5 separate regions of the Mus musculus genome follow, and all the other regions are reported to be linked to region 2. Evidence: microRNA targets listed by miRTarBase, many of them from high-throughput screens and not tested one by one. Region 2 holds a microRNA gene; each other region holds the end of a gene's coding sequence. Distances are between the middles of the regions.

Region 1 (4,241 bases), 130 Mb from region 2:
TGTAACCAGGGTGGCTCCTTCACGTCCCACCCCTTAAACTCTAGGAGAAATTGAAGTGTTAATCGCGTGAGCAATATAGCAAATGAATACAAGTTTGTCCTGAGTAAAGTCAGAAACCCTCAGAGTAGGTCTGACTAATATTTTGGAAGCCAAGTGTTTGTAAGAATATTTAAAAATTACTTTAATTAAAAAGTAGTGAAAAAGGTAAAAATCGCTCCAAATCATACCACCTAAAAATGTTTCCAAGGTGGAGGTGTTTTGTTTTTAGCTTGTACGGAGTCACTTGCAGAAGGTTTACAGCCCGTTATATACATTTCCTATTTTATTCCTATATTTGTTTTGAAATTATCTCTACAAACTATACACATGAACTATTTGCTTAAAAATGTGTTACATACATACATACAAACATACATAAATACATACATACATGTATCTTAGCTTATAACTTAATATAAAATCTTGGATATGAGTAGAGGTCACAATATATTCATAGATCTAGTCTACTGTTTTAATGGCTTCATAATACCCAACTAAATGGATGTGCCATCAGTTAAAAGTCACTCATGTTGACAGGTGGACATTTGGATAATGTCCAAGTTCCTATGTTTTTGAGTTTCACTGAGATTTAATTCACATACCACAACATTCACCCACTTGGTATGTTCATTGTTATACAACCACTGATGTAATTTATGAACACTCTAGCTTTTCTTGCCTACCATTTATTACTACATATATATGCACTTTTTAAACCAACTCTGTACTTGACATATATATGGAATTGCACATTTTGTCCTCACCAGTGACTGGCTTCTTTCCCTGAACATACTCTCAGGGTTCTCCCATGTGGTGGTATATCTCAGAAGTATTCCTTATTTTCTTAATAAACAGCATGTGAAGAAACTGGATTACTGTTTTATTAAACATTTAGTAGAACTCTAGATTTCAAATCTAAAGCAACTTAAGTATAGGTATTGTTGTGGCTTATCTGTCTTGTGACTTCTTTAACCTATTTGTTAGTAGGTCGATTCTGGCTTCCTATATTTGGTTCTTGGTACTTTATCTTTTTAGGGATTTGTTCATTTTTAGTAGGTTAATCTATTGACACATGAGTACAACAGTACTCCCTCACACACCTTCTATTTTTCAAAGGTCAGTAGCAACATTCCCTCCTTTATTTCTCAAACTAATGATTACATTCTACCTCTTCCTGCTGTATGTAGCAAAAGGCTTGCCAGTTTCTCGCTTGGATTCCTTGCATTTTCTCTCTTGTACTCTATTCTCAGGCATTTTGCATGTTTTCCCCTTTTTGTTTGTTCTAGGTGTAGTTTGCTATTATTTTCCTATGGCTTAAGATATGAAGTGAATTACTGTTACACGGTCTTTCTTCTCATTGAATAGGCTTATCTCTAAGCATATCCCATATATAGACAAAGGTAGCTGGGAACCATCAGTGTGGATGCTGAGGATCAAACTCAGGTCCTCTGCAAGAGCAGTAAGTACTCTTATGCACTGAGCCATCTCTCCCGCTTCTTTATTGACCGACTTGGTCTTTAAGTTATCACTAATTTTCACTTATCTGTGAGTTTCCCGATTTATTGGTACTGATGTGTAACCTTCTTCCATGTGGAAGAGAACATGTTTGACAAGACTTTAGTCCATTTGTATTTATTAAGGCCTGTTTTGTGGTTCAGTTCATGATCTAGCCTAAAGATGTTTCATATACATGGGATAAAATATATATATTCTAGTAGAGCTATATTCTAGAGCTGTCTTTCAGATCTATCCAGCATCCAGTGCTGAAACTGGCTACTTCCTTGTTTATCAACTGTGCAGCAGTACTTGTATTAGGAAGGAGACACTGAGTACCCACCAGTTTGGAGATGTGCCTGTTTCTCCTTTCATTCTTTACTTTGTTTGCTACCTTGTTTCAGGTTATTTGAGGGCTCTGTAGTTATGAAAATATGTGATTAAAATTCTCACATCTTAAAACACCAACCTTTTAAACACAAAGTGGATCTTTATCTCTAGCATTTTTGTTTCCCTTTCCTCAGCCATGCGAACTCTTTCAACACACTGTAGGGCTAACAGAACAGTACAACTACCAATATAATTCTGTTACTTCTAGGAAGCAGAATTAGGTTTACAGCCTAGTAAAATTTAGCCACCTTATTTCCCTTTTGTTTTATTTGTTCCTATGGATTTACAGGATTTTTAAAGAAACTATAGCATTATTTCCCAGCCTTTTTGTCCTATTATTGGCAGGTCTGAGGGTTTGAACTCAGGTCTTCCTGTTTGGTGGCAAATGCCTTTACTCACTGAGCCATTTCACTCGACCTTTTGTAGTATTTTATGCTTCTTTCTCGCTTTTGAATGAAATTCTTATTATATGTTGTTTGATGTACTTAGTGGAGTACCCTAAAGTTCATTTTTCCCCTTGTTATAATATAATATAATATAATATAATACCTTGGATATTATAATCTCATTTAACCCTTACTCAGGGAGGTCAGAAGCAATGTTACTTTTTATAGATGAGATAAATGAGGCTCAGAGTGAGTGACTTTCTAAGCTCAGGATGGTAAACATGGGTGACTTTGAGGGTCACAGGTCTGACTCCAAAGCTGGTTCTACCGTCTAAACCATTTAGGTTCTTCTTCTTCTTCAACAACTATAAACGAATCACTAGGGAATTTGAGGCAGGCTGCCTTTCCTCTAAAGAACTTTCTTTCCTGTCCCTTTAATATAGATGCTAGTTCATTTGTCTTGAAAGTTCATACATTAGACAGATACTCCATGTTTAATGGATATTGTTTTGAATGCAATAGTATCATAGACTACCAATATTTTGGTTTAAAAGATGTCATAATAATAAATATGCTTTTGAGGACTCTGAAAACTTAGTGTGGAAGCAATCATTAAGTTAATAAACTTATGAATCTACCTACTGAAACTGTTGAAGGTTCTGACAAAACACAGTTTGAGTTCAGTAAAGAAATATTTTAACACTGGGTTAGTTTTAAAACTTCGTATACAGGAAACACTCCTAGAAAAAGTCTTATCTCTAGGACTAAACACTGAAGACTACAAAATTATTAAAGGATTTTTGGGATCTTTAGGAACAGTCCTATGTAATGTATCCTGAGAATTAAAGGTTTTCACATGGTCTTACCCCTCAGGGTATTTTCTGCCATATATAGTGTTTCATTATTATCTTTAACACCCAGGATATTGTCAATTTTATACAATCTTTTTCAATACTATACAGTATTTAATTATAGAAAATACTTTTTAGGGTGGAGAGATGACTCAGAGGTTAAGAGCACTGACTGCTCTTCCAGAGGTCCTGAGTTCAATTCCCAGCAATCACATGGTGGTTCACAACCATCTATACTGGGATCAAATGCCCTCTTCTGGTGTGTCTGAAGACAGCTACACTGTACTCACATACATAAAATAAATAAATATATCTTAAAAAAAGAAAATACTTTTATCAATTCTCTCCAAATGCTGAGAGCAACTGTCCTAATTTCTTTCTTATATTTCCTCTTCAATTTTCAACAAATTTTTATGAATTTACATATTCTTGATCTAAGAAATGAGAAAAGAAAAATCATCTGAATATTCATTTACATACATATATCCAAATGTGCATGTACATGTGTGTAGATACGAATTCCTAGCTGCCATTGATTTCTGTTCTGCCATCAGGAGCAGATGTTATAAGGGAAGAGCGCTGAACAGCTGACTGTTGCTTTTTGCTCTTTGCAAACTCTATCACCAATATTTTCCCATAGAGTTTATATCCATTAATTTGGTGCAGTGCTTGCCATGCTATGTCTTTATCTGGAAAAAAATAAGAAACATGCATCAAATTATATAGTGCTTAATCACTCAATTATATTACAGGGTTAATTTGGATTTGTGTGCTATAAAAAATCATAATGATGTTTGATGTTTTTGTCGTGCCTGCAATCCCCAGTTTGTATAAGTAGTCAAGATTAAATTAATGGGCAATAATAGTGACAAAAGGCCAGCACCGGGTGACCTTGGGCGTGGAGTCAGTGGACAACCAGAAGGTCCCTAGAGGACTCTCCACTCGATCTTAGGACCTATGGTGAGTGGAACACAACTTCTGTTCCAATCCAATTGCGCGGGACCTGAGACAGCACTAAAGAAGCAGAAAACCCGGCCTGACCAGGGTCACAAATCCTTCCGGTCACCACCAGCACCAGGTC
Region 2 (4,241 bases):
AACTAGAATAATACTGGATTAAGAAAGAAATTTGGGGCTAAACATAGCAGCACAAGCCTTTAAATGCCCGCACTTAAGAGGCAGATCTCTGAGTTCGAGGCTAGCTTGGTCTATGTAGTGAATTCCAGGACAGAAATGGCTACATAATAAGACCCTGTCTGTCTGTCTGTCTGTCTCTCTGTCACACACACACACACACACACACACACCCACACCCACACACACACAAAGGTTTAGTGCTGGTGATACAGCTTAGTTAACAGAGTACTTGTATAATATCACAAAGCCCTGGGCTTAGTTCAAAGCACTGCATAAACCAGGCTCTGTGATATTTATGTTGTGATCTCAGTTCTTAGGATCACACACACATAACAGAATAAGGAGGATCAGAAGTTCAAAGTCAGCTGGGTGTGGTGGCGCACGCCTTTAATCCCAGCACTCAGGAGGTAGAGGCAGGTGGATTTCTGAGTTCGAGGCCAGCCTGGTCTACAGAGTGAGTTCCAGGACAGCCAGGACTACACAGAGAAACCCTGTCTTGAAAAAACAAAACAAAAACAAAGCAAAAAACCAAAAAAAAAACAAAAAAGAAGTTCAAAGTCATCCTATGCCACAGACCCTCTGGGTCCCTTTGTCTGCGTGGAACGAGTCTCTGGGGCAGGTGGGCAAAGAGTGGGCGAATGAATGACAGACAGACGAAACACAAGAGGTTGTGTAGAATCTGAATGTAATTTGTCAAATTGCGCATCAAACTTTTTATACAGAAGAAAATAGGGAAGTTAGGTGACACATGGGCAAGGTACAAATGAGGTTACCGGATGCTTAATGACTCTTACACAAAACAGAGGAATGTAAACACAAAGACTGGCAGGAACTGGGCAATAAAATAACTGAGACAAAGTCAGCTCTATCTAAGGTCAGCTATAGTTTTAGGAGCCAGGTGTGAGATCTTTTCACTCCTAGGGCAAGGGCTTTCACACATAAGTCATGGTTCTGATTAGGGAGTTCCGATCTAGCTAACCATCTCATGAATAATGCAATACTCTAAAACCACAGCCTGATCTACTTCCTAAACCATTGTAAATTCCTGCATATGGGAGCAACTTGGCTTTTATTCTAAGTGATAGTGTAATACCAGAGGCAATTCTCAATATCACTGAATAGGCAACATTCTTACTAAATTCCAAGCCCATGGTCAGCTCAAGGACTTTCTAGGATGTTGGAACACTGGCGAAGGCTTAGCTATGTCAGAATTCAATCTTAAAAGGCACTTATAATAAGATAATACTAAAAGAGAGCATGTGGATCCATACACCAGACTAACGCGGAAATAGGGTATGAGTATATGGGTTTAATGAGAACACCAAAACTCCAGGAGGTGAGTTTCCATGAAACTCTTTGCCTCGTGAGCGCTTCCAGGCCTCTCGGCCTGCCAAGCAGATTTCAGCGGACTGTGCGTGGCAATCCTAGCTACATAGGAAGATGGAGACCAGTCTGGGCTACATAGGAGACTTGTATCAAGGTGCACAGGGGGTGGGGGTGGGGCACAGGTGGAGAGATGGTTCAGTGGGCAAGAGCACTTAGTAACAAGAGCAAGCATGAAGACCTGAGTTCAGAATCCAGCACCATGGGAGAAGTATGCCTGTAAGTCCCATGCTGGGAAGGTGGCAAGGTGATGCCAGGGTAGTTGGGGCTTGGAGGCTAGCCAGATTATCCAAAAACTGTGAGCGACAGATTTAGTGAGAGACCTTGGCTGAAGGAAATGAAGTCAAAAGTGAGAGGAGGATGGACCAAGTAGGCTGTTCAGGGATTAATGATAGCAATGATGGTGGATTCTTTTTTTTCTTTTGTTTATTTTGTTTGTGACAGTTGTCTGTTATGTGTTCCTGGCTGGCTTGGTACTCATGTGTAGCCCAAGCTAGCCTCTAACTCATGGCAGTCATCCTGTCTCAGTCTCCTAAGAGCTGCTACTATAGGTTTGAGCCTCCACATCTGTTCTGAATTATGGATCTCCAATCACCAGGGACCTCGGTTCTTGCTATTTTCCAGCCTTTGACACGGACCTGTGTTTTGCTTCCAGGAACAGTTGTTGAAACTGTTTCACTTTCATATTTACATCGTATGTGGAAGGAAGGAAGGAGGAAAGGGAACAGGGAATAGTAGTAAGGAGAACCTTCCTTTCTTTTGAGAACATGTTCTGCTGACTCTGGTGGTTCCTGCCTGTAATCCCAGCACTCAGAAAGCTCACACAGGGCTGGAGAGGTGCCTCCGCAGTTAAGAGCACTGGCTGCTCTTCCAGAGAACCGGGATTCAGTTCTCAGTGCCCACCTGGCAGCTCACAACTGTCTGAACTCCAATTCTGGGGCATCTGATGCCCTCCTCTGGCCTCCACAGGCACCAGGCATGCATGTGGGACACAGACATACATGCAGGCAAAACACCTGTGCATGTAAAATAAATAGATAAATAAAAATTAAAATAAAAACCTTAGGAGGATTGTGATTTTGAGGCCAGCTTGGTTTAAAAAAATAAAATCAAACCAAAACAGTCATAACAGGTGGTCTTTATTCCAAAGAGATGGAGGCACAGAGATCTCCTTGAGCTTGAGCCAAAGATACATAGGGGGACCCTCTCTCAAAACAAAGAAATCGTTAATAAGGGCTGGAGAGATGGCTCAGTGGTTAGGAGCACTAACTGCTCTTCCAGAGGCCCTTTGTTCAATTCCCAGCAACCACATGGTGGCCCACAACCATCTGTAATGGGATCTGATGCCCTCTTCTGGTGTGTCTGAAGACAGCTACAGTGTACTCATATAAATAAATAAATCTTTAAAAAAAAGTGGATGGTGGCTGACAATGTTTAAAAACAAAGAAATCATAATAATAAAGACTTAAGTTATACTTAACAATTCTAGATACAGATTAACCACCTGAGCTGTGCCCAGTGATGCTATTCCTAGCTACTTGGGAAACTGAGGTAGGATTCTTTCCATTAAGGAATCAAGACTCAGTCTCAAAAAAGAACACTGGGGCTAGATGTGGTGGTGGTGCATGCCTTTAATCCCAGCACCAGCAGATCTCTGCGAGGTTGAGGCCCCCCTGGTCTCCATAAGTTCCAGGACAACAAGGGTTACATAGAGAGATCCTGACTCAAAACAAAACAAAAAGAAAGAAAAAAAAAAAAAGAAAAGCGTTGTGGGTCTCAATCCTCTGTGCAGCTGCCCTTGGTTGGGGGCTGTCCTGCACTTCAGGCAGAAGAGCAGTGGCTGGAAAGAGGATGAAAAGGCTCTGGGGTCGCTCAACTCCAGTCTCCAGTTGGTTAGGAAGAGCAGAAAGTGCATGCTAGGAGACGAGCACACTCTGAAGAGGACCAAACAGGGAAAAATAAAATTGGTTACTCTTTCCAACATACCCATCTTTGAGGCGATCTGAAATAGAGTACCATTAGTCCATGGTGGCCAAAACTGTTGTGTGTCACTACAGTGGCACAATGTGTGGAAAATCATTACAGAGTATGCACACTAGTTTTGTTGACCCTGGCATTCTGATATTATAACAGACTGGTGAAACGCAAACCTGGAAAGTTTTTCTTTTCTTTTTCTTTTAATTTATTTTATGTATGTATACATAAATGAGCACAGTATCTGTCTTCAGACGCACCAGAAGAGGGCACCAGATCCCATTACAGATGGTTGTGAGCCACTATGTGGTTTCTGGGAATTGAACTCAGGACCTCTGGAAGAGCAATCAGTGCTCTTAACCACTGGGCCATCTCTCCAGCCCCTGGAAAGTTTTTCTTTAAGAAAACTTGCCAGAGCTTATTTGCTTACTTGTTAAAGAAGAGAGAGAGAGAGAGAGAGAGAGAGAGAGAGAGAGAGAGAGAGAAAACTCACGTGGTGGTGGCACACACCTTTAATCCTGGCACTTGGGAGGCAGAGGCAGGCAGATCTCTAAGTTTGAGGCCAGCCTGGTCTACAGAGTGAGTTCTAAGACAACCTGGGCTACACAGAGAAGCCATGTCTTGAAACAAAACAAACAAACCAACAAAAACGAAAGAAAGAAGGAAGGGGGGGGGGGGAAGAAGCCCAGCCACGATGTCCAGGACCTGTGATCTTAGCATTTGGGAGGTAAAGGCAGGTGAGGAGTCCAGGCTCACTGCTGGCTACCAAGCAAGTTTGAAATAAGGTCCTATCTCAAGAAAAAGACTTTTGATGGAGCATTTTATTCCCCCAAATAGAAAGGAAT
Region 3 (4,241 bases), not on the chromosome of region 2:
TTTTCATTAGGTTATCAGAATGAGTGCATGTGACAAGATTGGAACAGCTCTCATGTATAGTAGAGCTCCATCGGAAACTGCATAGTTTTTTATCTGACTGCTGACAGTTAAATTTAGTTTCTTTCTTTATCTTTCCACCAGGACTTGGAAGAACAGAGTCGGTTGATAGCTGCCTCCAGTAGACCAAACCAGGCTGGTAGTGAGGGCCAGCTTGTTCTTAGCAGTAGCCAATCAGAGGAGAGTGATTTGGGAGAAGAAGGGAAAAAAAGAGAGTCGGAAGCATAAACTTGTTGCTGCTTTTTGAGTTCTCATTTCCCTGGGATGTGGCACAGCGTATCCATGCTGAAGATCATGGAAGAGATAAGCTTTACAGTAGTGTGCTTCAGCTTCATTTAAAAAGACTGAACTTGATAACCGGTTATAGCGAACATTTCCCCGTAAAAATAAAATACTATGCATTGTCATCCAACTCTGCTTTCCTAAACAAGACCTGCTTACTTTTCTGTAGTAGATTGCTGAGGAATTACAGGTCTTCAAGATATTTTTCCTTTAAATTGTGAACATTTTATCTTGCACTGTAATTGGCTGTCTCCATAAGGAATGATTTATTCTTGGATTCTGACATTCCTGTGTATACTCTCCCTTTCATTAGGAATGTTTTATTGGTAGTGAGGGAGGGCTCAATTGAGTGAGCTTAACATCCTTTATGTGGAGAATTCTATAAGTGTGCAAGTGTTGTAACAATATTGAGTGTGCAATAGAATTTGCACAAAATCACAAGGACGGGGCAGGTGGTGCTGTTGACTTCAGGATGTTTTGTGGCTTGCTCCATTTCTCTGATGTACTAGATCATGGCAGTGGGAGACCTCAAGTGTCTGTTGGTGTTTGTGTGGCACTTGGTATTTTGTTACCATCTTCTCAGTTCTCAGGTTGGGACTTTACTTATTGCTGCAGAACAGGAAAGGTTAGAGAGTAAGACTTCAGAATTTATTGAGATTGTTGTTGTTCAAACATTTTATATTAGAATTGACATGTAAAGGGAGTGTTGTAGACTGATACATTGTATTTTCTGTATTGTGAAATAATTTTTAAATGACAATGAGTGACATTTCAAAAGATGTTCTATAACAATTATGTTTATTGCTTAAATAAAAATGTGCAGTTTAGTTTAGAAAACAATCTTTTGAATTTCAGACTGATAACCCCAGTATTTTCATAATCCCACATTTTGATAATGTATTGAATTGCCACTTTTTATCCATAAAGGCAAATAACTAATTTGAGTGTAGAATAATTTGCACTAATAATTGTAAATACTTTTACTTTTCAAATGAGTAAAAGGTCTAATTCCATGAAAGACTGAAAAGGAACTGAACACCTCATATAGTGCAGGACAGAGTTAGCGTGTACTGAGGGTGATTCTGTCAAAACTTTCTTTACTAGGACTTTAAACTGTGTTTACAGATTTTATTTTCATTCATTCTACATGAAAAGGTGTGTGTGTGTGTGTGTGTATATATACACACACATATGTATACAGGTTAAATATATTGATTAGTATTTTACATAGTCATACATTTAGAGATTTTCAAAAGGTTAACCACTAATTTCACAAGTAGTTTCTCTTTGTTCTGAATTAGAAGTTTTAGTTTTCAGCTTATAGCTCCGTTTCACACTCTGTAAGTACACTGTTTTCTGTAGGAACAAGATAACGATATATATAGGATCATATTCTTTTTCTCCATTTGCCAAATGAGACTAATGGTTATTTACTACTCTTCAAAGTCTTCTGTTACCCAAACATACAGTTAATAATTATCAATTTATGGAGTGCATTTGGCTAAAAGTCTGTTTTGGGCTTACTAAAGGGAATGCCTTCATAGTAAGTAGTGTTTCCTCTGTTAAAACTGTGAACTGCTGTGGTTAGACCGTGATTAGTGGTGACAAGTCTTGCTTTTAAAACTTTTTTTGATATTGGTAAGGCTTCTTGTTTTGTTGTTGTTGTTGCTATTGATTTTATTTTGTTTTTGTTTGTTGATTTTCGCAGTGATCAGTTACTAAACTACCACAGAGCCACACCCCCACCCCAGGTTTTCAGTTTCATGAATCTTTTCTTGATGGAAGACGTCATGCTTGCTTCAGATGAACTGTGTTTTATAGTAAGAGTAGTCATCAGGAGGCACTTTTATTTGGTTGGTGCTTTGCATGGTAACAAAATAGTGATATTTGGATAAAAATTTAGGCCAGAGGTAAGAATTTTCTAATTCTTTTTAAGTCATGTTTCATAGGAACTCCCCCAGTTGTGTTCATGTCCATGGGTCAGACCAAAATGTGTTCCAGTGCCTAGGACGCATTCTGAGTGGATCAGTCCGTTTCAGTGATTTAACTTGTATCACTATTAAACTGTATGCAATTCTGCACATCAGCTGTAGTCAGCTCTCTGCTTGAAGAAGGCTCCTGTCAGCTTCTTCCTAAATGTTAGTACAGATGTCATTCTGTTATACTATCCGCCAAGATCTCCCACAACTTTTTTATTTTGGGGGAGGCACAGAATTGATTTTCTTGTTCTGAGTTTGGGTTCATTCCTGTCACGGTCACTGAGCCAAGGCAAGTAGACCTTGCCTCTTCAGTCTTAGTCCTGCGGGCGTCTGCTCAGATTCTCTTCCATATTCAAAATGCCCTGGAAAAGCTTCACTGTTTTAATACGTCCTAGATGTTCAACTGAAGCAGAGCGAAGAAATGGCCCTCCCAGCCCCATCCACCTAAAACAAAACCAGCAGCTGCTGCTACAGCCATTATGAAAAAATAACACAAACTCTTCTTAAAAAATAGATCACACAGAAAGAACTGAGGGCAGATGCACCTGGGGGGAGGGGGGGGAGGGCTGCCCCAGCCACGGGGAGAGGCCTGGGTGCTGAGATGACCCTGCAGGGCTGGGGTGCTAGTAGGTGGCTGCCTCCTTCCTTCTGCCTAGCCTCTGTAGTGTGGGCTGGATCCCAGGCATCTTCTGCCCTCTCCCCTGAGGGATCCTGGCCCCTGCTGAGGACTGGTACCTATTTCTCATTAAAGTGGCTTTGATCAGGAAATGAGATGGACACCAAGCATGAGTGAGGGCCACTGCCTGGCTACATGTCTCCCAGCTTTTTAGAAATTAACAAAGTTGCTTTTTAAAAAATGAAATTTAGCCTACCTAATTATACTCTGCATTCTGTTACCTATAGCTAATCTTGTTTTTTTCCATTACTTAATGATTGATTGGTGTTCAATTTCAAAAGTGTTCCAAGCTCCACAGTGTTGGGATGAGGATGTTGCCGTTATTTTTGAGAAAAGGATCGTAAGATGTGCATAACATTGTAGGTAGCATGGTTTTGTGCAGTGAACACACAAGTAACTACAGGAGCTGCACTCTTCACAGTTTGAACTGACAGTGCTGGCAGACCCTTAAAGCAGAGTCTTCTGACACACGAATGAAAGGAAATATTTGCTTCTAATAACAGTCTGAGCATTTAGATCATACTTTTAAGTATTTAAACACACCATTGTATATGGCAAGCAAACTTTTAATTTTATTTTTAGCAAGTTTATTTCTCTTTGAAATTGTCATTCTACATTAATAACATAAAGATTTTAAACTAGAACCATACTGAACTTTTTTAATGATAAGATGAAATGGACTTTAAAGGAAAAATTATTTAAAACTTTGTTAATAAGCCTCAATAGCATAAAATACTAATGTTAATCAAAATACTTCTAAGTATTTTTAAAGTACTTTAAAAATCTCCATCGGGCTAATTCCTATGTATTTCTTTTCCAGGAATATTATTCTTAATAGCATAAGCTTATTAAGACTAAATGGAAGTTGAAGGATTAGGCACACCTAGAGCAGTGGCTTCACCGTTTGATTCTCATTTCTCTGTGGTTTCCACCTCTTATCAGGAGCTGCCCTGGAAAGGATCCGGTCATGCTGCCTGCCTCTTTTCATCTGTCATGATGGATTTCATCCCTTTCACGGGCCTCTCCATCCTCTCTTTCCACATGGGTTGTGAGCCCAGCATTCCTGTCTCTGGCTTCCTGGGCCACTGCTCTAAGTTTCTCTTCATGCTTCTTTTCTTTTTGAGTCATCTTACTTTCTACTTGGGCTTGCATTTCCACTGCTGCTCAAGCCTTCTGATCAGCAATGTATAGTGTTTCAGCCAGTTTGGCAAATTTTTCACTTATATGGACCATCTGAAGTCCTCTTC
Region 4 (4,241 bases), not on the chromosome of region 2:
TGTTATTGTTGTTTTCTGTTTTATTGTGTATTCTGTAAATGTGCTAGTAGTAAATGCTACATTCATGAGTCAGTCACTAAATGTTTACTAAGTAATTGCCACATTAAATGTTACATTTGTAAATCATTTACTAAATGTTTCTTGTAAAGCTCAGAACATTATCAAGTTTATTTGGAAAATAAGTTCTTGGTTTTGAAGATTTATTTTTAAGAAATCTGTTTGTCATACTCAAATTTTAAAAAAGATAAAGAAAATCTTTATTAATATTATTTTTAAATTTTTTACTTTCAAAATGAGTGAAACCACTGGAACCAGTGCTTGTAAGTACTCTTGAGAGTTTAGTGTGCTCAGAGTCAGGTTGATGCCATGATGAACACAGATGTGAACTGACGAGAGCTGTGCTCAGGGGTGACTGCAGAACAAGCCTGTCAGATTAGCCTCAAAAAGGAAATCAGAAGCTAGGCGTGGTGGTGCACGCCTTTAATCCCAGCACTTGGGAGGCAGAGGCAGGCAGATTTCTGGGTTCGAGGCCAGCCTGTCTACAAAGTGAGTTCCAGGACAGCCAGGGCTACCCAGAGAAACCCTGTCTCGAAAAACAAAAACAAAAAAAAAAACCCAAAAACAAAAACAAAAAACAAAGGAAATCAGAAAATGAAAAGATCAACACATAATAAAGTTTCAATAAACTTGACAGAAATACTTTATCAAAATTGAATTAGCTAGATAGACTTCTTTAATAATATTTCCTAATATTTTCTATAAAACTCTTGTTATGCCATGTTTCAGTTTTGCATATCCACCCTACTGCTGCTCCCTGTAGTTTTAGAAACACTGCTGAGAATAAAGCCATCTACTAAATGTGACTACTAATCAGAAAGTTAGTGGAAGAACTCAAAAATACAAATGTCTAAAACATTTTTTAAAAAACCATCTATATAAAGGAAATCAAGAGAAAATGAGAATTACCAAAATCTGTCTCATGAATAAAGTGTAGAAGTTAAATTCTGTAGTTTATACATGCCTTGAATCCTTTATAATTAAGTAAGGATCAGGCTAACCTTCGGGCCAATCTTGGCCCTGAAGCAGAGGGGTAAATGAAAATGGCATTTCACCATTGGGCCTGTGTTAATACCTGTCTAAGTGCAGAATCTTAACAGTACATAGAGTTAGGGCTCATGTGAGACCAGGTCTGTGTGAACTCACACGATTTGTTTCAGCAGTAATGAAGCTGTACTCGATTCTCTACAGAGCAAAAGGGAAGAAAGCAATTAGGAGCTTTACTTAAAGGACATGAGGAACTTGCTTCTTTAGGAGCCAAATAAAAGGACAAAGTTATGGACCAAAAGTCCATCCAGGACTTAAGGACAAAAGCATTCCTTTTTTGTCACAGGATTTGAGGAGGAAATGCAGATACAGTGACCATTCATACGACTGTAGGCCTGTGCCCTCTGCTGTCCTCCACAATGACCACAGATACGGCAGCCATCTGCACCAGAAAGGATCTCCCATCCCCATCCCTTTAAACAAGGCCTTCATGGCCAAACACACTTGTTACTCGAACAGGGGCTATGAGTTCTCCTCTTTCCTTCCACAGGACGAGGAGGACTTTAAGATTTTGGAGGGATTGGAGATGGCCAAGCATCAGGTGAGGGTGGCTATTGATGCATATGATATGGCAGCAAAAGCAATGACAGGTAAACAGGAAGGAAGGCACACACCTGTAGACTTGTGAAGTCAGAGGAGGAAATGGTCATATGGAGATATTTGGTTATTTAGTATGGAGGGCAGGTACATAAGAACAAAAGACCACTGAAACTGTGCTTTTCTTGGTTAAGAGCTCAGGGCTGTGAGGGAAGGGTCACACTTTTAAAGGAAAAATCTCCATAGGAATATAAAAAGTAATTTTACCATGATTGTCTTGTATTTCAAAATTAGCTATAAAGGCTGTAAGCATCATTTACTTTCTTTCAGGATAAATTGATTTGATTTGGTTTGATTTTTAGGAGACTAGAGGCAATATGGTAAACTGTGTGACAGCATTTGTTAATAATGAAAGTCCATGGTTAACTTTTCATTTAGATTGGCGGCTAAAAGGCTTCAGAACCAGTGGACTTCGTCAAGTCTGCAGTGAAGACTTGATGCTGGCATTTGTCTCCACTTCTCACATAACATACGTTACCTATTAGTAACAACTCCTTTTTGTGTTTTGCAGAAAAACCCAGAGGAAGACTGCTCGGGGAGGACACTGGGCTGGGAGCCAGGGCACTTGCTGCTGACGCTCTGCACCATGCGCAACATGGAGCAGCTTCTGCCTTTCTTCAATGTCCTCAGCCAAGTCTTCAACAGCAAAGTCACAAGCCGCTGTGGCGGACACTCAGGGAGCCCCGTCCTCTACCCAAACTCCTTCCCAAACAAGGACATGAAACTGGAGAATCACAAAGCCTTTTCCAGCAAAGCCAGGCAAAAAATTGAAGAGATGATAGAAAAGGACTTTCTAGAAGGAGTCATAAAGACTTGACCACCACCAGTGGTTCTCCAGAGCCTAAATGGAATACTTAAAACACACTGCTGAGTTGTATAGTTTCTTTTTCTTTTATATATATATATATGTGTATATGTAACAAAGCATTATTCAGGTTGTATTTAATTTAAATATTTGTAAATAAGAGCTTATGTCTGAATGTGGCCTGAATCAAGTTTAAATATATAGGTGGCTCATACTGATGATGGTGCCTACAAGGTCTATATTTGCATATATAGTCCATTGTTTCACTGTCTTGGGTTGTCTTAAACCTGCAAAATACACACCACGTTTTCTTTTTTCCTGCTTGGTCTCAAGCCTCATTTAATTGTTAATTGTTGTTTTTCTTCTTTCTGTGGTTAATAATGTCCTAGTATCAGAATGGTCACTTGGTTGTCAGAGGCTTCAGGTATCAGATGGAGCTGTGTCCCTTCGCTGAGCACTAAAGAGTAGCTGAAGCCTGGACCACACACTCTAGTGGGCACAGCACAGAGCTCTGCCAGTACAATGAAAGATGGGCCACCTGCCAGTTCTGATGCTGCTAAGCAAACCAGTCAGTCATTTCTTCCTCACATTGAGATCCGCATGGGAAATTGGTTCATACGAAATCTCCCCATTTGAACCAGGTAGGTCAGTGCTACAAAACATCTTGGTTAGGTAAGCAATCGAAAGGGGCTGCAAAGAAGTTAGTAAAGTTTAATTTCCCAGTACCCTTCATGAATTCACTTCATACCCTGTAAAATTAATGACACTTGAACTATTAAAACTTAATACAGATTAAAATCAGAGGTAAGCTTCATTCCCAAGTCTAAGATTTTGAGCTTCTAAACATTTTTTTCCTGGTAGCATTTAAAAACCTATCTAGAAATAATCCATTAACATGCATGACATGTTGATGTCATGATTACAAATGCCCTAGTACTGCCAATATTATAAAGTGTTATAGAAACATTTTAGAAGTCCACTTCTCCAGAATATAAAATTTATCTTCAGAAAGTTGGTTGTGGTCTTTCTCCAATGCCTCCAGCCAGCTGGAACACCAGCAAACTCACTTCATAGGCAAGCCTGTCTGCGCTTTCCTGCAAATCACAGTAAAATTAAGTGAGACACAGTGCCTGCAGCCATTCCTGGCTGTCCTAGGGGATGCTTCCTGACTTTGTTTCACAGAAGTATTCAAATAACTTCTTTTTCATCTTTCAGTAATAAGGTTCAAAGCCCATATTTAAAATGGGCTGGATTCTTCTAAATAAGATTTTCAGTTCTTGAGTTTATAAGTTATTCCAAAATTAAGTAACTTAAAAACCAAACCTCCCTAAGTAATTCTTAGAATTTACATCACATAGTCATTGCCATGTAAAAAGTAACTGTTTATCTCCTGAGTCCGCATTCAACCACAGTATACATAAAGAACAAATGATGAAAATGCAGAAACAGAGTAATAAGAATCTAGAGAAAGATTTGAACAGTAATTACAAAGTCCAGAAAAAAAAAAAGCAAGCATTCAGTTAATTTGGACATACTAAAACTGGCTGCTTCTACAAACTACAGTTCTAAAGAGGAAAAAGAATAATCTATAATACATTAAAATTAGCACATGTCAGACTAAACTAAGGATTTATTAGTTATTCCTGTACAGCCAGAACACACCCTCAAGAATCTACAATAGAGAACACTGTTTGGGAACAAATTAAAGGGGTATAAACTGGACCTCCCACTGAAC
Region 5 (4,241 bases), not on the chromosome of region 2:
TTGCACTTTTCAAGAGATGTCTGTTCTGCTTGGGTAGACTTTTCCAGGCTGGCTAGCGGATACCTGAAGCATCAAACCCAACTAGTGTGTTACCAGTGCTCCAGTTGTAGTAAATAGCATTTCCTAATGTATCCACCCTGAAGATGGTGTGTGGTTAGTAACTAGTTGATGAGATGCCAGCAGAACCCTGTTTACTTTGTGGTCGCTGTTTGCCACTGTATATTATCTCAGATAACGAACTCTCAGAAGTGTCTGACTTCTTTTCAACCCCAGGCTCTGTCGACAGAATCCGTCGAGAGACTCCCTGTGTACAATAAAGCCGCCTGGAAGCATTACAAAGCCAACCACGAGGCTGACGACTGGTGTGTGCCCAGCCGAGAGCCGAAAGACATGACCACATTCCGAAGCTCTTAAACGCACATGGGACGCCTGGCACATCCACATGTGGTTTCTGCTAAATTTGGAAGACATGTATTTGGAACCACACTGTTCCAAATATTTCACGTGTGATCTTCACAATTAGTGTTTGCTGAAGCTCCTAAAGGATCGGTTATGCCAACTGTATTCTGATGTGTTGGGTTAATTGGGCGTGGTTTTGAACACACATAATTTTGGTCAACTACCCTTGGTATGGTATGGGGTGTGAAGTTCCTGGTTTCTGTAGGAAGCTGAGTATTTCTTTCAAGTTTTCACTTACTTCTGCTAGAAGCATCTGAAGAACGTGGAGTAGCTGGCTAGCGGCCTCTCTGCTTTTGGAGTTCTATCATCTGTGAGTGGTGACACCTAGTCAGATGGTCTTCTTATCTCCCACGAAGAACAACACAGTGATCCGTTAGAACCCACACAGGTTGTCAGAGTGCTGAAATGAATTGATCATGGCATCATTTTTTTGCAGTGGATTGTAATGACTGGTTCCCCATGGAGCTAAGTCCAGAGCGTGGTTATCGAGTTTACTGTCAGCACAAGGGATTTTCTTTAAAAACAAAGTCTCACTGTGTAGCCCCAGCTGGCCTTGAGCTTACAAAGCCCTCGGTGTCCTGAGCGCTGGAATGAGAAGGGTGTGCCACCACATCTGGCTTACAAGAGAAACGTTAGTCCCAAAACAAGCCAAATGGCAGCAGAGAGTAAACTGTTTGGGAAGCACCAAGTGGCCCAGGCCGAGCTGACCGACTGCTGAGGTGATCTGAGGATGAGCGTGAGATTCTCTGGGTCCCACCCAGGGATCCAGAGGCTGAAGGCCAGGGACCAGGTGAGGCTCATGGCTGGCCTGGCTGGAACTATATTTGGGAGTGAATCGTGACTACTGCTGTTGTCAGAGTGACAGACTAGATTGGGAAGCTTGTCGGGTTGCTACACATTAGGGGACATAATCTGAATCTCAAGCCTGGTGCAAGCTAAAGCATTAGCGGGAAGACCAGGGTGACAGCGAGAGGTCAGGTGACCAAAGGCTCAGCCACCTTGGTTTCCAGTGGTGACTAAGAACATGTATTTTTCTAAAATATCCAGATTTTTTTTTTAAATCAAAGAAAAGTCAGCTTATATTAACTACAGAATTCATTTGCAGCTATGTGTTGATTTAAAGTCTGCAACAAACGCTTTGAAGTATTGATGTTATTTGTGTTAGAATACAAACCTATGGAGCAGGTAATGACACCTGGGTTCTCTCTCAGTGACCCAGAGTCACACAGAATTGGTGCCCCAGCCTGAGCTGTCTCTGCTGATCACTGTCCACTGTCTGGGATATTTATAACCTCCTCTGTTAGGTGATGGGGAAGTACTTGGAAAACATGCTTTGCCACTTGCCTAGAGGGATTTGGGGGTTTGGTTTGGAAAATGTAGTGAGTTAAAACATGTCACTCTTGACATGTTTTATCCAGTCTTCACTCTGTGTCCTACACATACATACATCTGTAATACAAAAGCCAAATCATGTGACATGGCACAAAATAGAACTTTGGTGCCAGTGATAGGAACATGCAGCCTGAGCATGCGCCAGGGTGGTCAGCCCAGATCCTTAGCTGAGAGGTGAGGGGCCTGAAACTCAGGTCCTATTGGCCCAGGGTTTTTAGCTAATACTACCAAATGTTGGAAAATATACACCGTATACCTGCTGTTTCTAATTGAGGACTTTGTAAGAAATAATAGATCATGCTCCTGAGTGGCATTTATTCAGTGTATTGCACTTACTAGCTTTCAATTACACTTTACTGCAATGATGAAATATTTTGGAATCTTTTGTACAACTGTCAATAAACGTACTATTTTTACTTGTGAAATACTTTGCCCTCTCCAAGGAATTAAAAAAAATTATCCCCCTCTCTGCTTAAGAGCTAAGAAATGTTTTCAGACAAGAAGAATTTAAAATTAGTTTACTTTAGATTCTTTTTAAGGTGTAGCACCTTTTTGCTCTGTTGTAATGGTAATGGATGGAGACAATGTGACAAAGCTCTAGGGGACGCTTTCCAGAGTTACTTTTAAAGACACCTGGAAGGTTTTTAGATTCTTAAGGTGAGCCATTTTGTCTGCCAGCGATAGTTTTATGTGGTTTAGGTATGAAAATAGAGTTGATGGTTGGGGAATGGACAGCAAGTGATTTTTATAACCTGGGCAGTTAGTGAGTGTGCCAGTGTAGTGTAGGAAAGGATTGTAAGAATATTTCACCAGGCAGTGGTGGCGCACGCCTTTAATCCCAACACATGGGAGGCAGAGGCAGGCGGATTTCTGAGGCTAGCCTGGTCTACAGAATGAGTTCCAGGGCAGCCAGGGCTATACAGAGAAACCCTGTCTCGAAAAATAAAAGACTATTCCACACTGTAATTCCAAATGCTGGCTGGTTTTGATGCCTTTACATTTAATAATGGTCAGTGTCTTACACTGAGATTTCTACATGAAGACATAGAAGCAGAATTCTACCGCAGCGTGGTGCATTTTCGGGGTGACTGAAAACTGAAAAGATGGATCAGCTTTAAAAAAAAATTTGAGCCACTTAAGGATCTTAGAAATATACTCGTGTCCTTTAGACAGCAGTCTGTTTCATCATCAAGACTCAATATCTGTACAGGTTCAACGAATTGTAACTAGTTGCCAGCACTGGCTCAGTGGGTAAAAGCATGGCCATCAAGCCTGGGTTAGGGATAGGGTTGGAGATCTTTCCTCAGCACGAATGGTGGAATTAGAGAAAGAACCAACCATCCTGTGAGTTATCTGTGGTTCTCCACACGTGCACTGTGCACATGCGCATCCCCTACATACACCACACTAATAACTGTAGCCAGGTGTCTTGCACTCTCAACCATCTCCTAGCAGTGCTTGAGGCAGGCTTGCACTGTAGATAGCCTAGTGGGCAAAGCAGGTAGAGTTCGTGTGCTTAGAGTTATCCTAGATTTCCCTTTTCTAATACACTGCCAATGATTGACATGTGCTGGAGAACTGGTGGATAATTTTGAAGAGCTGTATAAGTAAGTCATTTTCCACAGTAGAAATAACAGTAGGGAAAGGCTTAGTGTAACTGGCACTGCCTTCTACTCAACACTGGTGGAATCTCCTTTAGTCAAGACAGAGTATGTCCTATTGCTCGTTGATAGCGTGGGTCCACCACGCCTGCCTTTCACCGTTACAGCGGCATGGCGGCACACACCTGTAAGTAGATCTCTGAGCTTGAGCCAGCCTGGTCAACATAGGGAGTTTCAGGTTAGCCAAGGCTACATGTACGGACCCTGTGTGCTGTATTTTTTTTTTTTTTAAATCAATGAGGTCTAAAACAACTACAGAGGAGGAAAGAGTTGTGTGGTTCTATGAAACTCAGTGAGTGGCTAATTAGAGAGGGACCCCAGCCAGCAACCTTCTCTTATGTCATCAGGTTTACAAGGAAGTACAAAGCTTGAAAGGAGAGGTGGCCAGGGTTAGGTTTGGTTGTTTTAACTGAAGGAACTTCTCATATCCGATTAACTTGTGTTCTCAATACTATTAATTCTTCTCTCAGTCAAACCCAAGACACTATAAAAAAAATAGAATTAATGCTTTGTGAAGGAAAACAACGCATTGCTATTTTACACAATCCTGGCATTCTTAAATGACTGTATCACTTGTTCTACCTTTTGTGTTTGCAAAGAATTAAACAGTGTGCTGTCCACTTTTCTTTGCCTGTAGTCTTCATATTTCTGTAGCACATTTTTTTTTTCTGTAGCACATTTTAATCGTAGGCTTTAGTAGGAAGATACAAGACTGCCTATTTTGTTGGC

The links. The annotated mature microRNA mmu-miR-1198-5p reads UAUGUGUUCCUGGCUGGCUUGG and lies in region 2 at 1,875-1,896, shown strand. An mRNA with a match to its seed (bases 2 to 7 or 8) in the 3' UTR can be bound and repressed. Matches are read on the target gene's strand: a 7mer-m8 pairs with bases 2 to 8, a 7mer-A1 pairs with bases 2 to 7 and ends in A, and an 8mer does both.
Region 1: the mRNA of Rbm41 is a reported target of mmu-miR-1198-5p. Seed matches in the 3' UTR shown: 7mer-m8 at 386-392.
Region 3: miRTarBase lists Appl1 as a target of mmu-miR-1198-5p. Seed matches in the 3' UTR shown: 7mer-A1 at 1,525-1,531.
Region 4: the mRNA of Pgm3 is a reported target of mmu-miR-1198-5p. Seed matches in the 3' UTR shown: 7mer-A1 at 2,607-2,613.
Region 5: the mRNA of Pdk1 is a reported target of mmu-miR-1198-5p. Seed matches in the 3' UTR shown: 7mer-A1 at 602-608, 7mer-A1 at 1,895-1,901 and 7mer-m8 at 2,692-2,698.

What each region holds. Positions count from the first base shown.
Region 1 is chrX:139,942,055-139,946,295 of GRCm38, forward strand. Rbm41 (RNA binding motif protein 41) reads right to left here. Exons shown (of 7, transcript NM_153586.2): 7 at 1-3,849. The coding sequence ends at 3,683. Among named protein-coding and RNA genes, the nearest start is that of Rbm41, 54 kb to the right of the region's middle.
Region 2 is chrX:7,805,268-7,809,508 of GRCm38, forward strand. It overlaps Mir1198 (microRNA 1198), which reads left to right and starts at 1,834; the gene lies at 1,834-1,954. The region is part of intron 14 of Gripap1 (GRIP1 associated protein 1); the gene reads left to right.
Region 3 is chr14:26,919,772-26,924,012 of GRCm38, reverse strand. Appl1 (adaptor protein, phosphotyrosine interaction, PH domain and leucine zipper containing 1) reads left to right here. Exons shown (of 22, transcript NM_145221.2): 22 at 142-4,241. The coding sequence ends at 285. Among named protein-coding and RNA genes, the nearest start is that of Asb14, 27 kb to the right of the region's middle.
Region 4 is chr9:86,551,804-86,556,044 of GRCm38, forward strand. Pgm3 (phosphoglucomutase 3) reads right to left here. Exons shown (of 13, transcript NM_028352.4): 13 at 673-3,600. The coding sequence ends at 3,511. It overlaps Dop1a (DOP1 leucine zipper like protein A), which reads left to right. Exons shown (of 39, transcript NM_177208.3): 39 at 2,213-4,003. The coding sequence ends at 2,518. Among named protein-coding and RNA genes, the nearest start is that of Pgm3, 18 kb to the right of the region's middle.
Region 5 is chr2:71,899,711-71,903,951 of GRCm38, forward strand. Pdk1 (pyruvate dehydrogenase kinase, isoenzyme 1) reads left to right here. Exons shown (of 11, transcript NM_172665.5): 11 at 274-4,148. The coding sequence ends at 414. Among named protein-coding and RNA genes, the nearest start is that of Pdk1, 29 kb to the left of the region's middle.